3 linked regions of the Kluyveromyces lactis genome follow. The protein of the gene in region 1 purifies or fractionates together with the protein of each later gene. This does not show direct contact. Links are inferred from orthologs where the notes say so. Each region holds a gene or a part of one and is shown in the gene's direction. Other genes may lie near its edges. The genes, in order: SRP68, LHP1 and SEC65.

Region 1 (3,724 bases):
ACTATCACAATTCCTACCCATTGCCACAGTGTGACTTGGTGTCCGTAGACGATTATGCTTAAGATCATAGAAAACATCTTTCTAGTCACGGTGACCATTACTAACACCAACGATCCGTACTGTTCCAAAGTGTAGAAGATAAAGCATTGACCGATTGCGCCGCAACAGGCGTATGCCAGAAGATAACGACTAATTTCTGGATCCGCATGTAACATCTTCAAACCTTTTGCCAATTGTTGTCTATCAACTAGAACCATATATATTACGTTCCATACAATTAGGAAGAAGTTTAATGCAAACATGAGATGAGCACCAGTGATCTTATAAGTGGCCTTCTGGAATAGCTTATCCTGTTTAGCGTTGGTTAATCCATCAAGGAAAAGACTGCTACCCAGCAGCACAAAACCAATCAACGAAGAAGATGAAGAACTCTCAGAAACGTCATTCTCAGTCATAGAAGGTTTATGTCCATCCAAAGTGAATATTGTTATCCCAACCGTTACCAACAGTACCACTAATTTCTTACTTCTTGGAATTGGTGTACGGTACACAATCAAATGGACCATCAGCACCGGTAAAAGTTTGCATGACTTTGCCAACATATAAGTCAAGAAATCCACATAGCTTAACGAGTAAGCAGCTAACGGAGCAGAAATTGCCTGGGATAATGAAATAATCGCCATATCCCTTGTATGACTGGTCCAAAATTTCGATAGAGAAAGCACAGGTTTCTGCCATTTTATATAGATTAACCCACAAATCATAGCAATTGTTGCCTGTACCAATGCGACTATGTATGGTACTTGAAACGTACAGCCAGAGTTCGGCCATACTCTAGTGTTCAAAGGCTCTTGCAATAAACCCCATGTCAAAAACGAACAGTAGATTCCTCCTACCGCGAAAACATGTTTCAATATATGACGTCCCATTACCAACAATGTAACACCTTATAAGCTTGCCAGATACGTTTGTTGGGAACGAACTTGCTCTTTTTACCAGATATATCTCTTGTTTGACACCTTTTGTTATTTCAAGTAGAAATGATTCAAGATCGTTTCTATCACAGTGACAAATTTCAAACGGATATTGAACAGGGAAATCTGCCTCGAATTGTGTCTTAACACGGCTTATAAGATAAATAGTAAGCAGCAGTATCTGATATGGAAAGTCAGGTACCAATTGAGCAAGCGATGCATATACTGTTCTCTATTTTGTTCAGATCTGGCAACGATTTCCTCATCTTTCACCATAGTTAAGCTGGAAAAATTTTTTTATTTGAAATTCGTAATCGATCTAAAGCTACTTTGAATAATGTTGAACCATGACTATTTGAGGTCTCCACCAAGTTTAAAGGGTGTATTGGTTGACTTATTCCTTTCACAAGACTTCATCAATTGACTTTAAGCTATTAAGGAACAATGGTATACTCTCCTTTGGGTGTTACCTATGGGTTCAGATCCAATTTATTGTTAGAATCTTTTGCAGATTACCATAAATATCATAAAAAGGTTAACCATAAGTTACAACAATTGAGAGGCCGTTTAAAGTTGATTTCCAAGGATTCTAAGAACTATAAGGGCCAGGAGAAACTTGATAAGATTACGCATGAGGATTACAGTAAGAATCGGTTGTATGGATTCTTAATGCTTTTGTTAGCAGAAAGAGATGTGGCTTACGTAGAAAGTATCAAGGCCACAGGTAGAAGCAGGGGCCACTTGAGGAGTCTTGAATTGAAACTCATGCGTACCAGGATAAAGAAGGCCAATAGGTACTGTGACAGACTTATTTCATTGTCTCAAGGTGAGGACAAGTGGCAGATCCAAGCAGAAATAATGATATATGAAAAGTTAATCCGGACCGAATATGAGCTGTACGGTAAGAAACAGGTCAAATTCTCCGATGCAGAGAAGATTTCTACCCATCTAGCATTAGCACTAGCTGCGGTCAACTTTTTAGTTGATTCAAAGCTATTGAAGGAAGGCGTGGCCGATGCAGTGAAGAGCAAGTACCTGTACATTTTCAAAGAGAAGGCCAATGCCTTTTCTGTCAGAGATCAACAAACCTATATTTCAAGAGTCATACAGGCTAACCCGGAAGACCAACTTTTGCAATTGTTACAATCTCATGGGTTCTCTTTCTCGGTTCCCGAAACTGACGCTTCAAAGAGTCAATCCCGTGAGATTTCATGGAGATCATATTCCGCAACGATAGAAGACAGTAAAGTGTTTGAAGTGTACAGTGAATTGGCTGAATTGCACAACTCCAGCAAGCTTTCCAATTTGAACGATAAACTATTTAAGTGGAACAGAGCCATTGATTTACAAAAAGAATATATGACGACATGCTCTGAAGATGATACTGACGAAAACAATCAAATTCTCTTGACTTATCTACAATACAATGCCATGGTAACCGGTGTAGAAAGAGACAGCAGCTTGTTCGAGAGTCTTTTGAAGCAATGGGAAAGATTTGACAATAAGTCTTTTACGAGCAAGTTAAACAAGTACAAAGAAGTGGACCATATTATCAAGAACTTAAAGAGTTTGTTAAGTCAGATTATGGATCTACCGGGTGTTTACTCAGACAGCGACCTAACAAACCAAGTGTTCCTCTTGAAGACTTACTATGAAACTTGTTTCACTTCCAAACTGCTAGCAAACATATATCAATCGAAGAAGAAATACGTGGAATCACTCGCCCTATATGTCGACTGCTTACAAAGAATTGAAAACGCCGAAGAATCCCTGATAAACTGGGATGAAATCTATCTACCATCCCAGCTACTCTCGAAGGGGAAGATCACAGACTTGAAGAAATACATCACTACCGGATGGAGATCTGTTGTTGCCCTGGCAGAGCACAAGAAATCTATGGAAAAGAACAAGAAAACCCGTCAATTCGAACCATCTCTAGTCGAGATTTTGGAAAGCAAAGTGAGACCAAGTGACGTATCCTTGGATAACTTGTACCCACTCGCACCAAGACTTCTTCCAATTCCTCCAAAACCTTTCCTCTACGACTTGGCTTACAACTACTTCAACATACCAGATTCTACCTCTGTTACAGAAGAGTCGGTATCTTCAACTACTGCTGAGGCAAACCAAGACGATGAACCCGTCAAGGAATCGAAAGCACCATCCAAGAAAGGTTTATTCGGTCTTTTCAGAGGTTAATTATACCACAACTCCCATCCAAGACGATTATAGTCAACATAGTTAGTATTTTTGTAAAATATATACCGTCCCAACATCAAGATAAGATAGCTTGGAGATAATTACCGAAGGGAGCCTAGTTCATGACATCGGTTCAGAACTGGAGCAACAACAGTAACGCTGATGGAGGAGGAGGTAACCAAAAGTGAGTTTTATTCATGGTATCTTCCTTCATTTAATCGTGCTTATAATGAACTTTTCATGAGGAAAGACTTCAGAAATTGAAACTTTATCTATATAACATTCACCCTAAAAAGATGGAAGAAATACAGGTTACTCAGGCAATAGAGCCAGGCAATAAATCGTATATTAGAGCTTTATCAGTGGTGTTTAATTAAGGACAACATTTACTCTTATCCTAGGCAGTTTTAGGATGACACTCCGAAGTTGTATTGATGATCTATTTCACAAGCAGTACGTTTGTTGGGTGTGTTTAGATACGGAGTGTGAGAACGACGACTGGATCGTACACCAATGCGGTTGTAACTTACAGGTACACAGAAAATGTCTAA
Region 2 (2,692 bases), on another chromosome or scaffold:
TAACAACAGTTGGAACGAACATACCCAGAAAGTTTCGTGATAGCGGAATCGGCAGCAATCAATTATCTGTTAAAACCAGACAGATCCAGTTAGAACTGTGAATTTGCAAACTAAATAATCCTGGATATGATCCATGTATTTAGTGAAATCATCACCATCAAATAAAGGAACAGAGCACCTGGATAACAATTGAGGGCATTTGAAATCTGTGTTCAAGTAGCAAACGACGTAGCGAAAATTAAATGAACGTTGTGTCAAGGTGCAAAGTGTACTCTTTGGACCAATTTACAAGTCCATACCAGTATACATGCGAAGTCAACGGTAAGAAATGTACCAGGATTCACGTCGTACAGGAATCTCTGCGAGGAAACGGTAAAACAAGAACCATAGTGAACACAGTGCGCGAACAATGTGAGGGGAACGGACTAATCTTGAACATTTCTTCGATGCCCCGGAACGACCACAACGACAATGACTTGCTCGAAACATACCCGGAATTCCAACAGACTAATCTTTCCATGCTTCAGTTCGATTCCTTTATTCAATTTATGTCTCAATTATGTACAGATCCCGTGACCGCATTGTCTAGATGCCAACCGCAGAATTCGGAAACGTCTACATCGAAGCAGTTGGCATGGGTCCTCATTGATAATTTGTCGCACTTATCCATGGACCCCAAATTCGACGCCAAGTTGCTCAACAGATCAATTAGACTCGTACAACAGACTTTCGGTTCTGTCGTTATCTCTACAAGTTTGCCCTTATCGTTCCATGGTGGTATAGAAAGCACGTTTAAACATCAATCAACAAAATGTGCAAGTGGTGACCGTCTGTTACCCTATTTCAATGAATCCGACATTATCCTATAAGCTCTACAAAACGCTGTGCTAGAAACCGTGTTGCCCTACTATGTGATCTTCTCATCTCTGCATGGCAAAAGGACATGGTTCTGTCTACACCAAACAATTTTTTTTTTTTTTCATGCATTTTTGAACATGGAAAAACGTTAAAGAATTACGAAATGACATTCCAATTGAAGTTATGATACAGGTTCTAATCGATACTGTTAACATCCTTGTCTTTGTGCATTGTAGCTTCCATTTCCTTTCAGAACTGGGTTAAAGTTTAAGGCTTTTTCCCTATTGTTTGTGGTCATTTATCTAGCTGTCTATTGGATTGTTTGGATCATAGCCGTAAAGAATCGAATCGCACTTCTCATAACAAGTTATACTGGAAACAATGTCATTTTCCCAAGAGATCCGTCGTCGTGGGTCTTATGCCCCAATCGATTTCACTCCTGAGGTGTCTCAGGCTTGCCGCAAACAAGTGGAATTCTACTTCAGTGAATATAATTTGCCCTACGATAAATTTTTACGCTCTCTATGCGAACAGAATGACGGATGGATTCCAATTACGACACTTGCGTCTTTCAACAGAATGAAAAAGTATAGACCTGTCGACAAAGTTGTTGATTGTTTAAAGGACTCGACGATTCTAGAGGTTAGCGCTGATGGTGAAAATGTGCGTAGAAAGAGTCCATTAGAGACAGTTGATTTTAAGGACAGGAACGAAAGAGTGTTAGTGTTTATGAACTTTAAGAAGATCGAAAATGAAGATAAAGATAAATTCCTAGAATTACAAGAAGAACTAGAGAAGTTCTTCAATGGGTTCACCACTGTTAACCAAGTTCGTTTGAAGAAGGACCATAAGAAATACTTCAACGGTGTTGTCGAAGTCGAATTCAAGACGAAGGAGGAATGTGTCAAATTCTTTGAGGAACACAAGACCGATTTCTCATATCAGGGACAACCATTGGAAGTTGTCACTAAGAAGCAATACAGCCTCGCCAAGAATGCAACTAGATCAAAGAATTTCGGTGGTTCTGGTCAAAAGACAAGATCATTAACTGGTTACAGGAAGAACATCCCAAAGACTAATGACGAAACTCCTGAAGCCAGTTCTGAATCAAAGCTCAGTGAAGGAGATGCCAATGCTCCAACTGAGAAGAAATCGGAAGAAAGTGCCACAGAAACTGCTTAAGGCAGTCCGGGCTATTCTCATATTGTTATTCTAAAGCTCTTTTTTCCGGTGTCAATCGAACTCTTTGCCAGTAAATTGTAAGAGGATGGATACCAATGGAATCTCCAAGAAAAGAGGTTTAACGAAATAATAAATACACACACTTATATATGATAAATAATGACATATATTAAGTTTTTAAGAAGAAAAATATAAAGTTTACCCATAAATGTTTTTTGTTTAAAGACTAGAATGGAAATTGTCACTTGTATCGATTCTTATCATTCAAATAGCTCTCTTCACATTCAATTTCCTAACACTCATAGTCTGTCTGTCTTTAGGATCGTACCATCCACCATTCTCGGTGGGGAATGGTGCAGGGGTTGCATAGTTGTAATCTGAAGGTCTTGTGTATGACCAACCTGGGGTGATGGTGGTTTTTTGCTGCAAAGAATTGATCAGCGAAGGGAAGTAAGACACCGCACTTGTCGCGTATCTTCTTGACCAAGTCTCCAAAGTTACAGTAGAACCCGGTTGTTGTTGCATTGGAGCAAATCTGGAAATACCCGTTTGTTTGGTATATGGAATAGTGAAAGATCTTGTATCTACTGAAGCCGCATCAAGAGATATCTGCTTTGGAGGACCATCAGTGTCAGTCACAGATTCTGCACTG
Region 3 (2,708 bases), about 930 kb from region 1:
TCTCTCTTCTCACTACAGGATCATTATTACGATCCTTGATAATTCGTTTCATATCAACGAACGATTTCACGTCTTTCTTACCACTGTTTTCTTTCTTCTTAATGTTCTCTTCGAGCTTTGTATGATCTTGTGGATCATCATCTGATTGTTCCGAGTCCGAGTTGCCCAGGTTCACCTGAGAGAACCTGTCCAAGTATGCATCCGGGAGTACAAACTGCGATTTGTCCATAGTCTTCGGCAGATCTTGAAATAAATCAATGGCCCGCAAATATTGTCGAGACATATCTTCCCCAGTCTCACAGCCGTGCACAATTATGTCCTTGTAATCGTACTTTTCTTTACTTCTGGTCGTCACTGCTTCAGTATTGCCTATGGTGGTACTCTTTAATTTGATCTCAGGCTCACTAGGAATTGTCGATAACGTGACAGTGTTGGTCTCAGCTGCATCCAAATGCAAAGATCCAATAAACCTATCCACCTTGAACAGTAGGTTTTGAAATATATCATCTGGTAAATCCATTTCGTTGACGTCCAGCGCCGTATCATTTACGCCAAGTATCTCACTGTCATTTTCATCGACAATTGTATTTGGATCCTCAATCTGACCCTCATCGGCGGTCTTATTTTCAGTTTGTTGGCCCATTACCGAACTCTCTTTGAGTTTCTGCTGCCAGAACGCATTGAGTTCTCCATATAACATCTCTGTCGCATGGTTCAACGATGACTGGTCCAATTGACCCGGTTGTACCCCTTTCCTATGAATACCGCCTATATTTTCAGAGGCGAGACACCCTGCTTGATCTTCATATATATCGGATGTATTGGGGTCGATTATTGAATTTCTGCTCGGCCACGCGGTCCAATCTTCTTTCAAGACGGTCTTCACAAACGTCTCGGTACGTAATATGTTCTTCTCATCCTTATTCGCTCTATACAATAAGTGTTTCAATAGATGCGCAGAGTATAAATGTACTGAAAGATCATTCCTTTGTTCTTGATCTAGCGTTGCTAACAGATCTATGGCATCACGGGCCAGTTGTGAGTCCATTTTACCGAAACAAAACCGAATAAAAAGGGACCGGTACAATGTTAGCTACCCACTTGAAGTCCAGCGGCTACAATTGCTATGAACTCAATCATTAGTAGCTGTTTGGATTCATGTTAGTTGATCCTCTTTAGTTCTCTATCCCTACTAAACCTTTAAATTCAATTGAAAATTTTTGATGAGCTTTAAACAGTGGATAAGAACGACCACTTCAAAGAGTTGGAAACAAAGCAGCATCAACCAAGCAATAGTTAAGGCTACAGTATTTGTTAGGGATATTTACACACAATGCCTGTGATTGAAGAGATCGATGATATCGATGATATCGATAATTTAGAGATGGATCTCGCAGAATTGGACTCCACGATGAAGACACCAGTGGCACCAAAGATCGTACCCACTGTGGTTAGATCGCAAGATCAAGAAGAAGAAGCATATTCTGCTGCAATTTCTGGTAATGCAGGCAGCGGTAGTGGGTTCAATTTTGTTAATAGCACCACCGGTCAAGTGGAAAAGAGTCATTCTTTGACTAAAGAAGAGCTGGATGAGATCAAAGAATTCCAGATGTTGTATCCATGTTATTTCGACACTAGAAGGACGCATGCCCAAGGGAGACGTGCTCCAAAAGATCTTTGTGTGGAGAACCCATTGGCCAAGACGATAGCAGATGCTGCCAGATCGCTTGGAATTCCATCAATATTCGAAGGATCAAAGACACATCCACAAGATTTTGGTAATCCGGGAAGAGTACGTGTGTTGATCAAGGAAAATGGAAAACCATTTGTGAGTGGAATCGATAACAAGCGAGTATTGATGAAGCGTATTGGAGAGTACTTGAAGAGCCATCCTACAACACTTGAGAGTGTAAAACAGCTTCCATATGGACCAGATTTTGATAACGTAGAACCGAAGAAGATTCCTTTATTGAAGGGAACAGCAATGAATGACATCGTGCCATTGCATAGTCCATACTTGACACAGCATCCAATGACAAAATCGCTATATGATGCTCCTCCACCTCCGCCTCCCGCGCAGCAGGTATCTGCACCAGAGAAACAAATGAAGATGCCAAAGAACAAGTTCCGTGTAGTAAGACGTTAATGGAATACTTCTGTCATTTTTATCACCAAATATCTAAACAAGAAGCGGCGTTTCCCAGTGTCTGTTTTAAATATGTATAATTATATATGTTAAGATAGATTCGAGGGTGATATTATGCAGATGCACCATAAGTTTGACGGTATTGTTCCATCTTTTCCCTTTCTTCCACAGAGATTCTGCCATCCAAGTAGCTGATAATGTTTGACAGGTTGACAATACTTAAAACTGGGATGTCATATCTCTTAGAAACAGATTGAGTAGCACTTAGAACTTCGGTGTCTTCGGTGTTAACCACCTCTTGTCTGTCTAATGCGATAATGGATCCAACAACTTTGCCTTCTTCCTTGGCAATGATCTCAAACGCTTCGTTGATTGCAGTTCCTGCAGTCATGACATCGTCGATGATCAAGATTTTTTGGTCCTTTAGTGCAGCACCAACGATATTACCACCTTCACCATGGTCCTTGGCTTCCTTTCTGTTGAAGGCATACTTCACATCTTGGAATTTCGAACCACCGATTTCAGCTAACTTCACACAAACGATCGATGCTAATGGAATACC

What was found.
Region 2: the proteins of SRP68 (region 1) and LHP1 purify together in Saccharomyces cerevisiae (affinity purification with mass spectrometry; 3 studies listed by BioGRID). This does not show direct contact. The link is inferred for Kluyveromyces lactis from reciprocal best matches to the Saccharomyces cerevisiae genes SRP68 and LHP1.
Region 3: the proteins of SRP68 (region 1) and SEC65 purify together in Saccharomyces cerevisiae (affinity purification with mass spectrometry; 5 studies listed by BioGRID, with this or other methods). This does not show direct contact. The link is inferred for Kluyveromyces lactis from reciprocal best matches to the Saccharomyces cerevisiae genes SRP68 and SEC65.

Annotation. Positions count from the first base shown.
Region 1 is NC_006040.1:1,096,366-1,100,089, forward strand, and holds SRP68 (signal recognition particle subunit SRP68), read left to right. Parts: upstream 1-1,418; coding exon 1,419-3,173; downstream 3,174-3,724. Other genes in the region: UDP-galactose transporter HUT1, read right to left, coding at 1-929; KLLA0_D12892g (uncharacterized protein), read left to right, coding at 3,586-3,724. UniProt on the Saccharomyces cerevisiae protein: Component of the signal recognition particle (SRP) complex, a ribonucleoprotein complex that mediates the cotranslational targeting of secretory and membrane proteins to the endoplasmic reticulum (ER).
Region 2 is NC_006041.1:128,690-131,381, forward strand, and holds LHP1 (tRNA maturation protein LHP1), read left to right. Parts: upstream 1-1,239; coding exon 1,240-2,040; downstream 2,041-2,692. Other genes in the region: PSY3 (Psy3p), read left to right, coding at 243-869; KNH1 (Knh1p), read right to left, coding at 2,305-2,692.
Region 3 is NC_006040.1:164,755-167,462, reverse strand, and holds SEC65 (RNA-binding signal recognition particle subunit SEC65), read left to right. Parts: upstream 1-1,333; coding exon 1,334-2,146; downstream 2,147-2,708. Other genes in the region: RRN9 (Rrn9p), read right to left, coding at 1-1,048; orotate phosphoribosyltransferase URA5, read right to left, coding at 2,259-2,708. UniProt on the Saccharomyces cerevisiae protein: Signal-recognition-particle (SRP) assembly has a crucial role in targeting secretory proteins to the rough endoplasmic reticulum (ER) membrane.